Linked DNA regions of Tamandua tetradactyla. The protein of the gene in region 1 purifies or fractionates together with the protein of each later gene. This does not show direct contact. Links are inferred from orthologs where the notes say so. Each region holds a gene or a part of one and is shown in the gene's direction. Other genes may lie near its edges.

The links.
Region 2: the proteins of CSK (region 1) and TNS3 purify together in Homo sapiens (affinity purification with mass spectrometry; 4 studies listed by BioGRID and IntAct, with this or other methods). This does not show direct contact. The link is inferred for Tamandua tetradactyla from reciprocal best matches to the Homo sapiens genes CSK and TNS3.

The regions. Positions count from the first base shown.
Region 1 is NC_135338.1:67,191,930-67,198,757, reverse strand, and holds the start of CSK (tyrosine-protein kinase CSK), read left to right. Parts: upstream 1-3,814; 5' UTR 3,815-4,025; intron 4,026-6,828. UniProt on the Homo sapiens protein: Non-receptor tyrosine-protein kinase that plays an important role in the regulation of cell growth, differentiation, migration and immune response.
Region 2 is NC_135327.1:69,656,377-69,664,209, reverse strand, and holds the start of TNS3 (tensin-3), read left to right. Parts: upstream 1-4,817; 5' UTR 4,818-4,822; coding exon 4,823-4,924; intron 4,925-7,833. UniProt on the Homo sapiens protein: May act as a protein phosphatase and/or a lipid phosphatase. Involved in the dissociation of the integrin-tensin-actin complex. EGF activates TNS4 and down-regulates TNS3 which results in capping the tail of ITGB1.

The DNA.
Region 1 (6,828 bases):
ACTGCTTGTACCTCTCACTCTCAACCCCAAGGGTCAGTGAGACCTGCAGTAGGGAAATGGGATTCACACCAGGCCTGGGTGATGCCAAAGCTGGGGACTTGTTCCCAGCACAGCTTTTTCCACCTTCCACAATCTCCTTCTGGAGAGGGCTTGATTCTCCAAGGAAATAGGCAGGAGCTCCCTGGTGAAGCCAGTGATCACAAGGCCTAAGAACAGCTACCCCAGCGGGAGGGCTGGCCTCCGAGGGGTCCCGTTTCCCCTGGGTCCCACCCCCACTGAAAGTGAGCAGAGATGGACCAGCGCCCTTTCCCAGCGAGCTCAGCAGCTCAGCCCCAGCACCTGCTCTGCAGGAAATAGAAAGGGACTTTGCAGAAAATCTGCCTTTAATCTTGGCTTCCTGTTTTCTGCCCCAGGGGACCGCCCAGAAGGTCTGAGTTTCAAACTATTTCACACCAGCTTCTCTAAACTGTCATCTTGGCGCAGTGAGGCTGGGGGAGGGGAAGAAGCAGGGTGGAGGAAGGAGGGGCCCTTCCCGTCCCCAGGGACTCAGACCCAGTCCAGCCATTAAATGCTTCAGCTCTGGACTTCTGGAGAGCCACCCAACTTTGCATAGAGCTGTCAGTCGACTCTCCTTTGTTCCAGCCACTTCTCGTCTCCCCTCTACTTCCACCAGAGCCCGCGCCTAACATCGCTGGCCTGGGCCAGGGTAACAGCGGTATTGGACGTCCTAACTGGCCTCTTCATTCTCTCCACCCTTCACTCTTAAGCCCCTCCCCCTTACTCCCCAACAACCAGAGAGGCCTTCTAAAACACATTTCAGATCATGCCACTCCCGGGCTTAAAATCCTTCTACAAGATTCGATGCAAACTCATGTAATAAAATCCCAGGCCCATAATGCCCTACAGGATCAGGCACTTGATTCTGGCCTTCCCTGCTTCCTCTCAGGCCACTCTCCCCTGCTTGCTGGTCTCACCACTTTGGCCTTCTGGATGTCCCCTGGCCGCAGAGCCCTTTTCAGCCTGGGTCTAAAACCTCCCGGTGCCCTAGGCTTGGAACATCTTCCCCCATTCCTCCAAGGTCTGGCTCCACCTTCTCCTCTGGGTCTCAAAGTGGAGAACCATCTCTCCATCCTGTCAAGCCCATCACGTGCTCAATTCCTTCATACCACTGTCTAATTACTGTTTATTTATTTACCCCCTTAGGCAAGAATCGGGGTGGTAGTAGTCATTCCTTCATCTTGAGCATCCAGAACAGGACCGAGCACTTAGTAGGTACTCACTAAGGATTTGCTGAATGAATGAATGAATGAGGAGGTTGGAGGTGACTTGTCTGGCACTCCCCCTAAAGGATAGCTCTATGGGCTGGAGCCTGTGACTGATCTGTTCAGGGTTTTAGCCCCAGTCCCTGGGGTGCAGAGAGGTTAAAAATCTTCCATCGACTCCTGTTGTGAGGTGGAGGCAGGATTCAAATGCAGGTCTATTTGACTCCAAAGTTCACAATCGGCGCATGCAGGAAAAGGGTCAAGTGTTTTGGGGGATGAAGGGGGTGGAGACAGGTTGGTGATGAAGCTCCTCAGGGATTGGAATATTTTTCTCCAAATCCTGACAGTCCCTTCTTTCCCATCCTGCCAACAGATTAGGCAGGGGGAGGGGAAGGAGATGTCAACCCCTCCATTCCAGAAGTCTCTGCTGAGCAGCTGAGGGCAGAGAGGCAGCCACCCCACCCCACCTCCATCCGGCCCCACCTTATCATTCCATCTAGATCTCCGGAGGAAAGAAAGGGAAATCAGCCCTGCTGAGCACCCTCCCCACGCACCCCTCGCCCACCCCCAGGCTCCTGTCTTGCTGAATCTGCACCACTTCCCTTGAGAAAGGTGTATTCTGAGCCTGGTTTTATAGAAGAGGAAACAGCTCAGAGACCTCAGGCAACTAACACGGCTAGTAAATGGACAAGCTGAGAGTTAACCCTGAGATTTGAACTTAAAACTCATGCTTTTTTTCCATTACACCACAGATATTTTTTTAGACTTCCTGGATATCTCCCCAAAGGGTAAGCATGTTACTGCTGTTTCTCTCCCCCAAAGGTCTGGCCCCTTGCTAGGAAGCTGACCCAGGGGCTTATTGGGTCAGAGGGACAACCTGTGGTTTCTCTGGGGTGGGGTGGGGGACATTCAACTCCTGCTCCTGGTATTCAAGACCCTTTGCAATCTGCAGCCACCATGTCTCCCCAGCACTATCTCCCACAGGGCCCTTCCCTGTCCCTTTTACTCCCTTGGCCCCTCCATATTTATTTTGGGTTCCAAAACTTTGCCAACATGCCTCACGTTCCCCACCAGGGAAGGCACCCTCCTCTCTGCCCACACAAGCCTGATGCTTCTGAACTCCTTCCTTTGACACTGGTATATTCAGTTTCCTCCACCACAGCCCCAACCCCCAACCCCAGCTCACACTGTCTGGTGGTCCTGTAGCTCAGAGCAGATCACTTTCCGCAAAGATATATATCAGCCAATACTTAATTAAGGACTCAACGTGTACCAGCCACTGCACACTAAGCACTTTAAATTTATTAACTCATTTCCTCCCTAAAAATCTTAAGATATTAGTGCTATGATTCTCCCCATTTTAACAAATGTGAACACTGAAGTACAGAGAAGTTAAGTAAATGACCCAAGGTCACACAGCTTTTAACAACTTCCTCATTGCCATAAGGCTGGAAATAAAGTCCAAGGAAGTCCCACAAGGCTCTTCGTGATTGCTCTTGCCCATGCTGCTTGCAGGGACCTCATCTCCTACCACTCTCACCTCACCACACCCCAAGCTGCTTGCTCTTTATAGTTCCCAGAAGTTTTCTCCTTTCTCACCTCTCCCTTGTCTTCCCCCATGCTGTTCCCTTTGCCTGGTGTCCCAGCTCTGTGAAGTCTCCCCATCAACCCTCCCTTCTTTTCTGCTTCCTGTGGACCTTGTACATCACCTCTCTACTTTTATCAATTATTTCTTTGCGATTTTCTTTTAACCTGTCAGTCTTCCCACCAGACTGAGATCTCCTAGAGAGCAATGAGTGAATGAATGAATGAACGCTCACTGCGGCCAGTGAGGCCCACCCCCTACAGACTGGAGGAGAGGCCCGGCCTCCATCGCTTCTACTTTGGGAAAGCTGACAAGAGAGCGCTCAGAGCTTGTTTCAAGGTGGGGTGGTCGACCCTCTGAGGGGGACCCTCAGGAGCCTCCAACACAGACAGGCCGGTGGGGGCAGGGCGTGGGCGCGGACACACCCCCCCCGCAGTGCCGCCGGCGCCCGGCAGGGGGCGTCGCCTCGCCGGCCCACGCCCCGCCGCACGCCGGGCAGGCCCCCTCGCGCAGGCGCGCTGCCGCGGGCGGAGGATCCGGGCCGCGCTTCCTCTCGCCAGGCCTGCGAGCTTCCTCCCAGCGGAGCCTCGGGCGAGCCGAGGTTGGCCGCCGCCGCCGCCGCCGAGACCGCCGCCGCCCTCCCGCTCCCGCCCCACCCCGTGCCCTGTCCCGGGGGGTCCTGCCGGGGTGGGGTCCGAGCGGGGAGACCGCCTGTCCCCACCGCCGTCGAGGCTGTACCCCGGCCAGCCGCCCCTCCCGCCCTAGGCAGCCTGTGGCCGCCGGAGCCTCCGGGACGTGGAGCGCGGGGAGCCCCCGCGGCCCCCGATAGAGCGTCAGGGGCGGCCCCTGGCAGCGGACGCGACCATCCGAAGTCGAGCTTGGGTAGCGGCGTTCGGAAGCGAAACTCTGCGGGGGCCGCGCCGGCTACATTGTTTCCTCCCCCCTACTCCCTCCCACCCCCCCTTCCCCCGTCTTTCTTCCCTCCCCGACCCGGCCGCGCAGCCTGCCCCCTGCCTCGGTCTGGCCGCCCTGCCTCCCCCCTCTCTCCGTCCCCGGACCTCTTGGCACGCACCCCCGAGGACCCCTGCGCCCCCCCTCCCCCCGGCCGCATGGACTGTCCCGCAGGCCGCTGATGCCGCCCGCGGCGAGTTGGTTCGGACCGCAGCGCCGGGAGAGAGGTGAGTGCCCGGCGGCCCGGGAGGAGGCGGGGTGTGAGTGTCCACCGAGGGAGGACGGTGGAGGTCGCACGTCCCGCTTCCGTGGCTGCCTCCGTCGCGTCCACTCCCATCCCCCATCTCCCTTATCCCCTCCTTCCCAGCTTCAAATTCTCCCGGGAGTCCCTGTCAGAACTGGACCGGGAGGGGAGCACGCGGGGAGAGCCACTGCCCTGCGAGCCACACAGACTTGGCCCAGGCCTACCCGAGTTCCCCCCCTTGTGGAGCTGGGGGGATGGGGGTGGGGGCGGTGGCTGGAGCCTGGTGCCAGGGTGGGCCAGGACCCTGATGTTGGACTCCATGGGAATTTGCTCTTCCATGGCCAGGTCCTCCCTGCAGGTGTCCTGGCCTGCATGGGTCTGACCCCTTCCCCACTCCCCACCGAGGCCTTGCTAGCTTCTGGCAGCCCAGGGCCCAGCCACTTCCCTTGAACCTTATCATAGGCCCAGGTCCTGGGTTGGAGCCTTTGACCCTCTGCCTCCCAGAAGACCAGGCCTGAGCTGAGAGACCTCTGACCCTTGGGCAGGGAAACTGGGCAGGGCCTCCATCCTGGGTGCAGGCGACACTGGACATTAGCACTGTGCCCTCACCTCCATGCAGCTTGGTCAGCCCATTCTCCCAGGTTCCCAGGGCCCAGGCCAGCTGTCAGGAATGGGCGTGTCCAGCCTCTGTATCCTTGGAATTTAACTAAGGGTTTACTTCCCCACCCATTTTATAGACCAAGGAAACGAGGCCCAAAGGGGGAAGTCACTACCCCCAGACCTTTGGCAGAGTTAGGATACCATCCTTTCATACCCCATCTCTGCAGAGCTGGGCTGCCATGGATGGAGGGGAGTCTGGAAGGCACCATCACCCACTAGGGACTAAGGTGGCCTAGGAGGGATGGTGCGGGGTGAGCACGTGCTCCTCTACAGAGGACTAGAGAGGAGGGTGAGGGCTTCCGGCCCCAGCTCCTCTGGTCTGTACTCAGCGTCAGCACTGTCTGTGGGATTTCCCCTTGGTGGCTGAGGCTAGGTCCCACTGGTAGGAGATGTGGTAGGTGTGAGGTGCGAACTGTGTGGTGTGTCAAGGATGCTGGAGTCCTGGACCCTGACTCTGAGCTGGAACAACTTGGTGGTCAGTAGTGTTCCAGCCCTCCTGCCCTCCCCACCTCCCCGGCCCCCCAGCACGGAAACAGCCAAGTTCAGAACAGGGATGGGCTCAGGATCAGGAAAATGGGAGCCCTGATACCACTGGTAGCTCCCTACACCCTTTGCATGGTCCATTGTCAGAATGGGAACACCCACAGGGCCTATTGCAAAACTCCGCACCCTGGGTGTCCCACTGTCTTAGCATGTCCACAGTAGGAACAGGGCAAAGGCAGCAAGTGTGAGGTTGGAAGTATGGCAGATTCATCTTTATCCTAGGAGGGGGTGGTCCCTGGAGGGTGCTGAGCAGTGCCTGGGCTTCCTTGGTTGGGGTTGCTGGCAGTTTTGTCTAACTCGAGGCCCCTGCCCTTGGTTTAGGGTTCTCTCCCTGCTGCTCCATCAGGGACATTAGAGGGGACCCAGCTGTCCTGGGCCCCAGCCCTAACTTCCTCACCAGCCTGTGGATGGGACCTGGCATGGTTAGATGCTTTTTATGAACCGTGGGCTGTGAGGATGAGGCGTGGAGTCCCAAGGCCATTGTAGAAGGTACTAGTGTGTGTGCAGTTTTCATTTGGGAAACTTGGTACCTTCCTCCCCCTCTGAAGGGGCTTTTCTTCTCTCTACATCAAATGGAAAGCATGAAAGGACCAGAAGATGTTCCCAGGGGACTCTGGGCCTAGAGAGCTTGAGCCTCAAGTGGGAGTGTCCCATGGCAAGGGTTGGAGAGAGGACACACCGAATGAGCACAGGTGTGACATGACTGCCCCCAAAAAGTCTCTGGGTGGTTTATTAGGGAATGTGGCCTAGTTGGGCAGGACAGCGTGTGTCTAGTTCTGGGCTCCATCTTTTGAGGTATTTTGGAGGATTGAGACCCAGTTCCCAAAGAACAGGAGTATTTGGTCTGGGAAAGAGAAGGTAAGGAGAGATTATTGGCTCTCCTCCTTGTGTGTCTGAGAAACTACTGTGTCCTGTAGTCAAGCAGTTGCCCTGTAGTGGAAAATGCTGGGGTCGTCTGCAGATGCCAGGATCTGAGCTGGGGGCAGGCCGGCTGCTACCTGAGTACTAATTTCTTAACTTTGAAAGTAACAAAACAGCACTACAGAAAATCTAGAAAGGAAAACAAAAATCACCCACTATTCCTTTACCTGACACAGTCATTATTAGCATTTTGGAGTTTCCTGCCAGCTTTTCCTGATTTCTTTTCTTACTGTTGCCGTTCGAATGTACAAGCCATGATGCCTTTTTTCATTTACTACTGGGGCCATAGGCATTTTCTCACATTCTGCACAGGCTAAGTAACTTTCCTCCTAAAAAGCTACAGAATATTCCAAATAGCTCTGCCAGAGCAACTTCACCCAAGCCCTGTTACTGAGCTTATGCATTGTTTCCCATTTATTAGTGGGGTGGTGTGGAGAGAATGCCTCCAGCAGGCTTTCTGGATGTGTGGTGGAGCTATTTGAGCTGTTTGAGCTGTTTGAGCCCTGGACCGAGTTGGCTAACTGCTTACCGGGCAGGGCTGAGGATGGCCCCTGCCCCAAGGTCCTCTGAACTGAGGTTCTGGGCTCCTATGACCAGTGCCTTGCCCCGCCTCCTGCCTTCCCCCTTCTTCATCACCATGTGATTGACCTGCCCTGGGAAGA
Region 2 (7,833 bases), on another chromosome or scaffold:
TCTCTGATTCCTGGCTTTGAAGATGGAGGAAGGTGCCATGAGCCAAGAAATGTAGGTGACATCTAGAAGCTGGAAAAGGCAAGGCAAGAATTATTTCCTAGAGCCTCCAGAAGGAACACCAACCACTTTAGAAAGACCTTAATTCTCATACTGTGAGACTCATTTGGAACTACTGATCTCCAGAACTGCAAGATAGTACACTTGCATTGTTTGAAGCCACTAAACATGTGTTGATTTGTTATAGGGCAATAGAAACTAATGCAATGTCCAAGACCCAGAACTACTATGTTAGAGACTCAGAATTTTGAAAACAGGAATCAGAATTTTGGAAACAATTTACTGAAGTGGTCCTTAGGGATTCTTTTCCTGGGGCCCTGGGGATGACCACAAGTTTGGAAAAGAGAAACCATGTGAAGTGGTTTGTGAAGGTCAACCTAGCAAGGGTGTAGAAATAAAAGACTTTCAGGAAGCACTGACTCACCATCTGTCCGGTGGCCTATTGCAGACTGTAGGTCTTTACTGATGCCATAAAACATTTTATTTTTAGCCATGTTTTTTTCTTTACTGGTTTCATAATTCATTATGCAAAATTTAATCATGAAGACAGAAGGTAAAAACTGTGGGTTTGATGACCTGATCTAGAATGTGCCCAGAGTATCATATTTGTTTAATGTGGTCTCTACCTTATGGGCATGTGTTAAAAATAGAACCACTTACAACCAGTTCTAACAACTAGGGATTAAAATTCTTAAAGAGAGAGAGAGAGATAGTGAGAGAGGGTGAACTGTAATTTTATTTCACATTTAGCAAATCAGAGGCAGTAATTTTATTTCACATTTAGCAAATCAGACAGATGTATGAAATGAGTTTGTAGGTCGCACTCAAAGAATGATATAGCCGTTATTAGCAGTCTTGAATAAGAAACCCCATTCTTCAGAAGATGTACAGCCTCATGGCAGCAGGACCAGGGGGGAATGATCCAGGGCTTCTCCTGGACTGAGGGGCCACCCCACCCTGCGGAAACCTGCCCTCCTGCTATTCTGCAGTGAGCTGGTCAGCAGTAAAGGAGAATAGATTTATTGTGCAGGAAGGGATGACTGTTAGGTTGGGGGACACTGAGACTCCAAGAAGAGAATACTGGAAGGTTATACAGCTCCTTATCATACATATATTTCATTTCTTCATCTAGTTAACAATTATTTAGGGCACACCCACTGTATGCTACAGGCTGGGAATACAACTCTGAACAAAACAGACCTTCTTCCAAGCTCTCGTGCAGGTAGACCCTGTACCAGAGGACGCAGATGTACCTGGAGCCTCCTTCTCACCTGCCTTCTCCTTGTCCAGAACCGGCAGGAAGCCATTTCTAAGAGGAGTGGTCCCCTGGCTATGAACTCTTCAAGGGCAGGTTGCTAGGTGCTTTCATTTTTGTACCCCCAGCATGCAGCGCACACAGTATATGGTCAATACATTTAAATTTAAGTAAATAAAGCTAATAGACCTTTAGTTCAAAGCATTAATATTTATTTCCCGCTTCTGCATATCCCAAAGTGAGCTCACACAGGTGGGTTCCTGCTTACATCTTGTGGGGAGAGAAACAGCTGAAAAATAATTTGATGAGGTGTCATGAAAAAGGCCCCAGTCCAGCCCAAAGGTAACAGAGAAATTTTCTCGGGAGAGTAAGCATAATCCCTCTGTAATGGAAACTCCTTTTTCCATGTCACAGAAAGTTGAAAGGTTAAGACGTCACCCACTCGCAAATGTTTTCAGGGTTGTTTGTTATCAGCTAGGCACCATCTGTGGATAAATGAAACCCTCTAACACGTAAACTACATTTTTGAAAAACCGAAAATGATGGACAGATAGTTTCTGTAAATATGTGCTTTGTCCTGCTAACTAAGAGGAAATAGGACAGAAATCCAACCACTTTCTTTTGTGTTAATGGGCTTCTCTTCCCCTGTTCCCAGGGGGGTGCTGGCTAGAGTAGGTCTCATGTAAGCAAGTCTACAGTCCCACCCAGTCGATTTTTAAAATCATTTACTAAAATCTGTGTTTACTTTTCAGATCTCCCCAGTGGAGTTGTGGCAGAGCCTGATTCCGACCCTGCAGCCCGTCTCCCCCAGGGGTTTTGACACCCCAGGGAGCTGATCCCTGAGGCTGGAGCAGCTGAGGTTTTGCTGCAGAAATCATCATCCCACGTGTTCAGGGAAAATGCAAATCCCTGCCTCCTTCACTGCCCGCAGAGACCACCCGGAAGCCACCAGCAAGGACAGAAGCTGCTGATGAAGAGGGCAGAGAGGGTCCTTTTTCAAACAGGCAGAATGAACTTCTCAGCTGAGAGATGACATCCTTCCCTCAGGCAAACTTAACCCATGGTGGGAAACAAGGAGCTGGTTTCTAGGTATTGTTTTCCTGAGTCTCCCGCATCTGGAGATAAAGAATTATCAACTGCCCCATTGTGGTAAAAATGGATGTGGAGTTTGACGACAAACACCAAAAGTGCTTTAAATGTTGATACCTGGGATTCCCTCTGGACTTTGTACCCTGCAGTGATCATACATGTGGGCAAAGATTCACAATGATGCTTTTTTCTTGGAAACATTGTTTATCATGGTGAAAACTTGGAAAAACCTAAATACAAGGGGTGGGGGAAGGGAATGGTTAAATAAATTACAGCAAATCTACCTAATGGGATTATGCCTTAATTTAAAATGATCACTGTGAATGTACCTAACAATAGCGGAAGAGGCTTCTTGATAAGATGTTAAGTAAAAGTAGAAGGATAAAACAATGTCAGCCCCAACCCTTCAGGATGGCAGCGCAAGAAGCTTTGGGGATCCACCCTTCTGAAATACTTTGAACCAACAGCAAGAACTGGCAGAAACATATTTCTCAAAGCTCCAGAAAACAGATAAAGGATTGCAGTCAGGGGGCCAGGGCCAAGTCAGGAGAAAGGCTCCTTATAAGCGGTAGAAACTTCTTGGTGCCCTGGTTGGTCCCTTTCCCACCCTTACCGTGGTGGAGCCAGCCTGCACCCCCAGTGTTGGTCCCTGGCCCCAGTTCCAGAGGGAGCAGATTTACGTTGTATGCATGTTTCCACAATTAGAAAAGAAAGAGAAACTAAAAAGAGTGACAATTAAGTGCAATGCATTGGATGGGATCTAAGAATGGAGGAGAAAAGACTCAAAAGGACATTAGTGGGATATAGGAACTATATCAATGTTAAATTTCTTGAACTTGAAAACTGTACTGAAAGTGATCACATAAGTGAATATCCTTGTTTGTAGAAGATGTGCATGGAAATAATATGTGTTCAAAGAGTATGATGTGTACAACTTACTCTCAAATGTTCAGAAAATAGATAAAGATAAATAGGTGATAGATGGGTGGGTAGATAAAGAATGATACTTCAAAGGTGGCAAAAGATTAAAATGGGTGGATCTGGGTGTTGGGGGCAGTGTATTAAAGTTCTCTGTATTGAGTTTGTATTATTTTTGCAATTATCCTGTAAGTGTGAAATTATTTCAAAATAAAAAGTAAAAATAAAAGTCTACCAAGTTGTGAGTTTACTGCAAACAAAGAGTCTACCACCTGCATATGAATAAGCCTGAATGGGGGGAGAGGGCAAAGTTATCCCTCTTTTAGCATTTGGGTTAGCTTTTTTCTATTATCTGAACTTTAAGTACAAGTATTAAATTGTTCTTATATTTAATGAATCTTCTGAAAGAAGACTATAGATCTCTTTTTTTCGATGTGCACGTTACTGGAGAATTAAAGGTGTTTAATATTCTGCCTGCACTATATATTAAAATGTAGATTAAGCAGCTTTAAGACAGGATAAACTTATGAAGCATGTAATAACATGGATGGACCTAGAGAATATTATGCTGAGTGAGTCTAGCCAAAAACTAAAAGACAAATACTGTATGGTCCCACTGATGTGAACCGACATTCGAGAATAAACTTGGAATATGTCATTGGTAACAGAGTCCAGCAGGAGTTAGAAACAGGGTAAGATAATGGGTAATTGGAGCTGAAGGGATACAGACTGTGCAACAGGACTAGATACAAAAACTCAAAAATGGACAGCACAATAATACCTAATTGTAAAGTAATCATGTTAAAACACTGAATGAAGCTGCATCTGAGCTATAGGTTTTTTTTTTTACTATTATTATTATTACTTTTATTCTTTTCTCTATATTAACATTCTATATCTTTTTCTGTTGTGTTGCTAGTTCTTCTAAACCGATGCAAATGTACTAAGAAACGATGATCATGCATCTATGTGATGATGTTAAGAATTACTGATTGCATATGTAGAATGGTATGATTTCTAAATGCTGGGTTAATTTCTTTTTTTCCGTTAATTAATAAAAAAAATGTAGATTAAGCTTTGTACATATGTTTAAAAAGATATGTAAAAATGTATTTGTAAAAGTCTGCCTAAATCAAATGCCTGCTAAGAATTTTTCAAAGTGCATCACTTTTTTTCTTCCTTACCAGAAAATTAATTGCCAGGAAACCTCTTCAACTTCACATTTAGGACGCAGGTTATTGCTCCCCCAATTCGCTGAGGGGTTCCAGGACGCCCCGGTGTGCTCTGCAGCACTAAGGGGAAGGCACTGCCTCCCTCAGTCTCCCCCAGTCCCACCCGAGGAGCGAAGTGGGGTCTTCCCGGTAGTGCCCTGCCCAGCTCAGCGTCCTAGCCAGAGGAGCGCCCGCTGGCGGAGGTCGGCGAACTGCGGCGGCGGCGGCAGCGGCTGCCTGGGTGGGGCGGGGCCGTGGGCGTGTCCGGTCTGTTCCTGCGAGTTCGGAGCCCATGGGAGCCTCCGCGAGCCTGGCCCGTGTGCGGCAGGGGCTGTGCGCCGCTCATCCGGCCCCCCACACCCCGAGAGCCAAAGCCCGCGTGGCCATGACCCAGGTAAGCAGAGGGTGCTGGTTGGGGGGGGGGGGGGGGCGTGTGCAGGAGGCGCCATGCTGGGAGGAGCCCACCCCTCTTCCCGGGTGCTGCTTCCCCGGGTGCTGCTTTCACGTGGCGCTCAATGGAACCGTCCCTAGACTGAGACGCGTCTCCCATGCTGGCGCTGGCAGAGTTTTCCAGGCTGAAAAGTTTTGTTTGGCTGCTGGGGGTTTGCCTTCAGCACGGGTCCCAAACCGGGATGGGTCGCTGACGGTCCCGCAGCCGGCCTTGCTGTGGTCGGCTTTGGCCAGCTAAGTCAGAGACCCGTGCCCTCTCGGTGCCCCGGGGGATGGCAGTCAGCTTCGCAGGGAAGAGCGCTGTGTCTGCGCCCATTTGCCATCCTCAACAGGCAGACCCCACAGGTCATGGGTTAGAGGGGAGAAGGTCCTTGTAAAGTTTTCTGTCTTCTGGGATGTGAGGGGGGAGGGTATGGGCTTTGGACCCCAGCAGGTACCCGGTCTCCGGTCTGGGAACCTCACTTTTCTTAGTTGTAATCCGTGATTAAAAAAATTTTGATTTTGGGATATGCCTCTTTCAATCCCAGTGACCACTTGTTCCTCCACAGCGTTTGCAAATAAATTCGGGGCCATCTCGTTCTCAGTGGCTTCTTTTTACAGAAATCTGCTCCTCCATTAGGCTCTGAACACTTCTCTGGTGTATTAAAACACTGCCTGCGTTTCTCTAAATGCGTTCAGCACCAGTTATTTATGAAGGCAGGAAAGGCAGATTTTATTAAATCCTTAACCACCCTACCACTTCCCAGCCCAAACTTGTCCTCAGCCCCCAACTTTATTTATAAACAGTACCTTCAAGAGAGAGAGTGTTGGCTTCTAAGCAACTAGCCCACATTCAAATGTTACTTCTTTGCTGAATAGCTCAGTAGCCTTGGGCAAGTTGCTTAACTTCTCCGAAGCAGCTTGCTTACCTGCAAACTGACAGGCATGCCTTTAGGGGAAGGATCAACAAAGTCTGGTAGATCAAAGAGCTCAGCACAATTCTTGGTGTTTTAGCTCCCTCCTCTGCAAAAGCTGGGAGCCTTTTAGGTAATCTCAAAATGTGCGTATCTGAGTTTACCCAAAATAACTGTCCCTCTGTTAAACCATGGAGGAAAGTCATCCGTGAACTGTAACAAGACTTGACTGTGGAATACTGTCCATTCCTCTTTCAGCCAGTCCAGTGGGGGCTCTGTCTATGGCACCAGGGAGATGAAAATGAATATAGCTTCTGTTATCACGGTCTTCGGGCTGGAAGAGGCACAGAAGATTAAAAACCAACTGGAACACCAGTCTATAAATGCAATAATATAACAGCTGGTCCTTCCCTAATACTCCCTCTGTGAAGTGTTAAATACTTACAAATACTGGCTCACTTAATTATTACATCCCTAGAAGGAATGGCACATTATTCACCCCATATGATCGATAAGAAGAGTAAGGCACAGAGCCCTTCCGAATTTACACAGTCACTAAGAGACAGAGAAATACACACCCAGGCATGCATGCCCGAAGTTCATGCACATAACCATCCGTACTAAATGGATTTCACTATCTCAGTGAGCAAAGCCAGAGGAGGCAGGCTTAAATCTGTCTGGTAACCTGCAGTTGCAGGAGGAAGTGTAGGATTTTGGTGGACAGGGAAGCCAGGAAAGGCATTCTGAGTACACAGCGTGAGCAAAGGTCCAGGGAGTAAGAAGTTTGAAAGCCAAATGCCAAACTGAGAAACAGATCTGGAGAGGAGAGGCAGGAAATGGAAATGGAGGTTTCCTAAGTCTGACTTGCTTTAAGATGGGAAAAGTAAAACTCTGGCACTGGGGAGAATGTGTTTCTGGGAAGCCAGTTCTCCCTTGCACCAGAGACCCTAATGAAATATTCAATTTGCGGTTGTGGGCGCCCAAACTTCCAGCTCCCAAATTCTCCCCGTTGGTTTTACAGGAAAGCCAACCACTTGCCAACAATTCCCTTTTCTTTGTACTTATCACAGAATTCATGGGCTTTGATTAGGATACATAAATATTTACTAGTTTTAGTTTGATGTGACTTGGTGGTTGAAATCATAGAAGTTCAGCAAGTCAGAGGATATTGGAGTCCAGAGAGGGAACACAACTTTTTCATAGTCACACAGAAAATTAGTGGCAAAGACAAGGTGCACCAGAGGCAGAACTGCTTCAGGCATCTCCCAAGAAGTAGTTTGGATCCTGAGAGCAGAGGAAGCCTTAAAAATATTCACGTAACTTCTGTTCCATCCTGTTGGACTAGTAGAAGGTTCTCACAGTCAGCAGATCTTGCAGACAAGAATAGTTTGACCAAATGAACTTCTGAATTTCTCCATTCCACACTTGCCTTTCAGTGTTAGAACTCTGCATAACAAATTCATTGAGCCATAGGTTTTGAGTCTCAAGCAAGGACTCAGCACTTTGCATTTCTTGTCCACAACAGTCCTATGCAATAGGCATTTTCATCATGATTTTCGTGAGGGAATCATAGTTGTGAAAAGTTAAGTAACTTGCCCAAGTTCATCCAGAATGTAAGTGGCTGAGTTGAGATTTGAACACAGGCCTGGGTGATTCTGAAACCCAGGCTGTGTTGAGGCCCGTTTGTGTCTCATAAAGGAGAGCATCCATTCATTCTTGCTAACGACTATGCGTGGTTCCTGAGGAGCAGCCCACCACAGTGTGGGTGGGTTTGTAGGACTCCCTCCATCCACATAGCTTCCAGATGTGCAGATTCTCATGCTTTCTCATGACTTTGCTTCACCACATCAAGTGGCATGGTGTGGGTACCCAGGGACCCATTTCCCTCCCTGGGCTAATGGGCATTTTCCATTTCACTGAGAATTTTGCATTCGGTTGAAGGCAGAGCCTCCTAAACTGT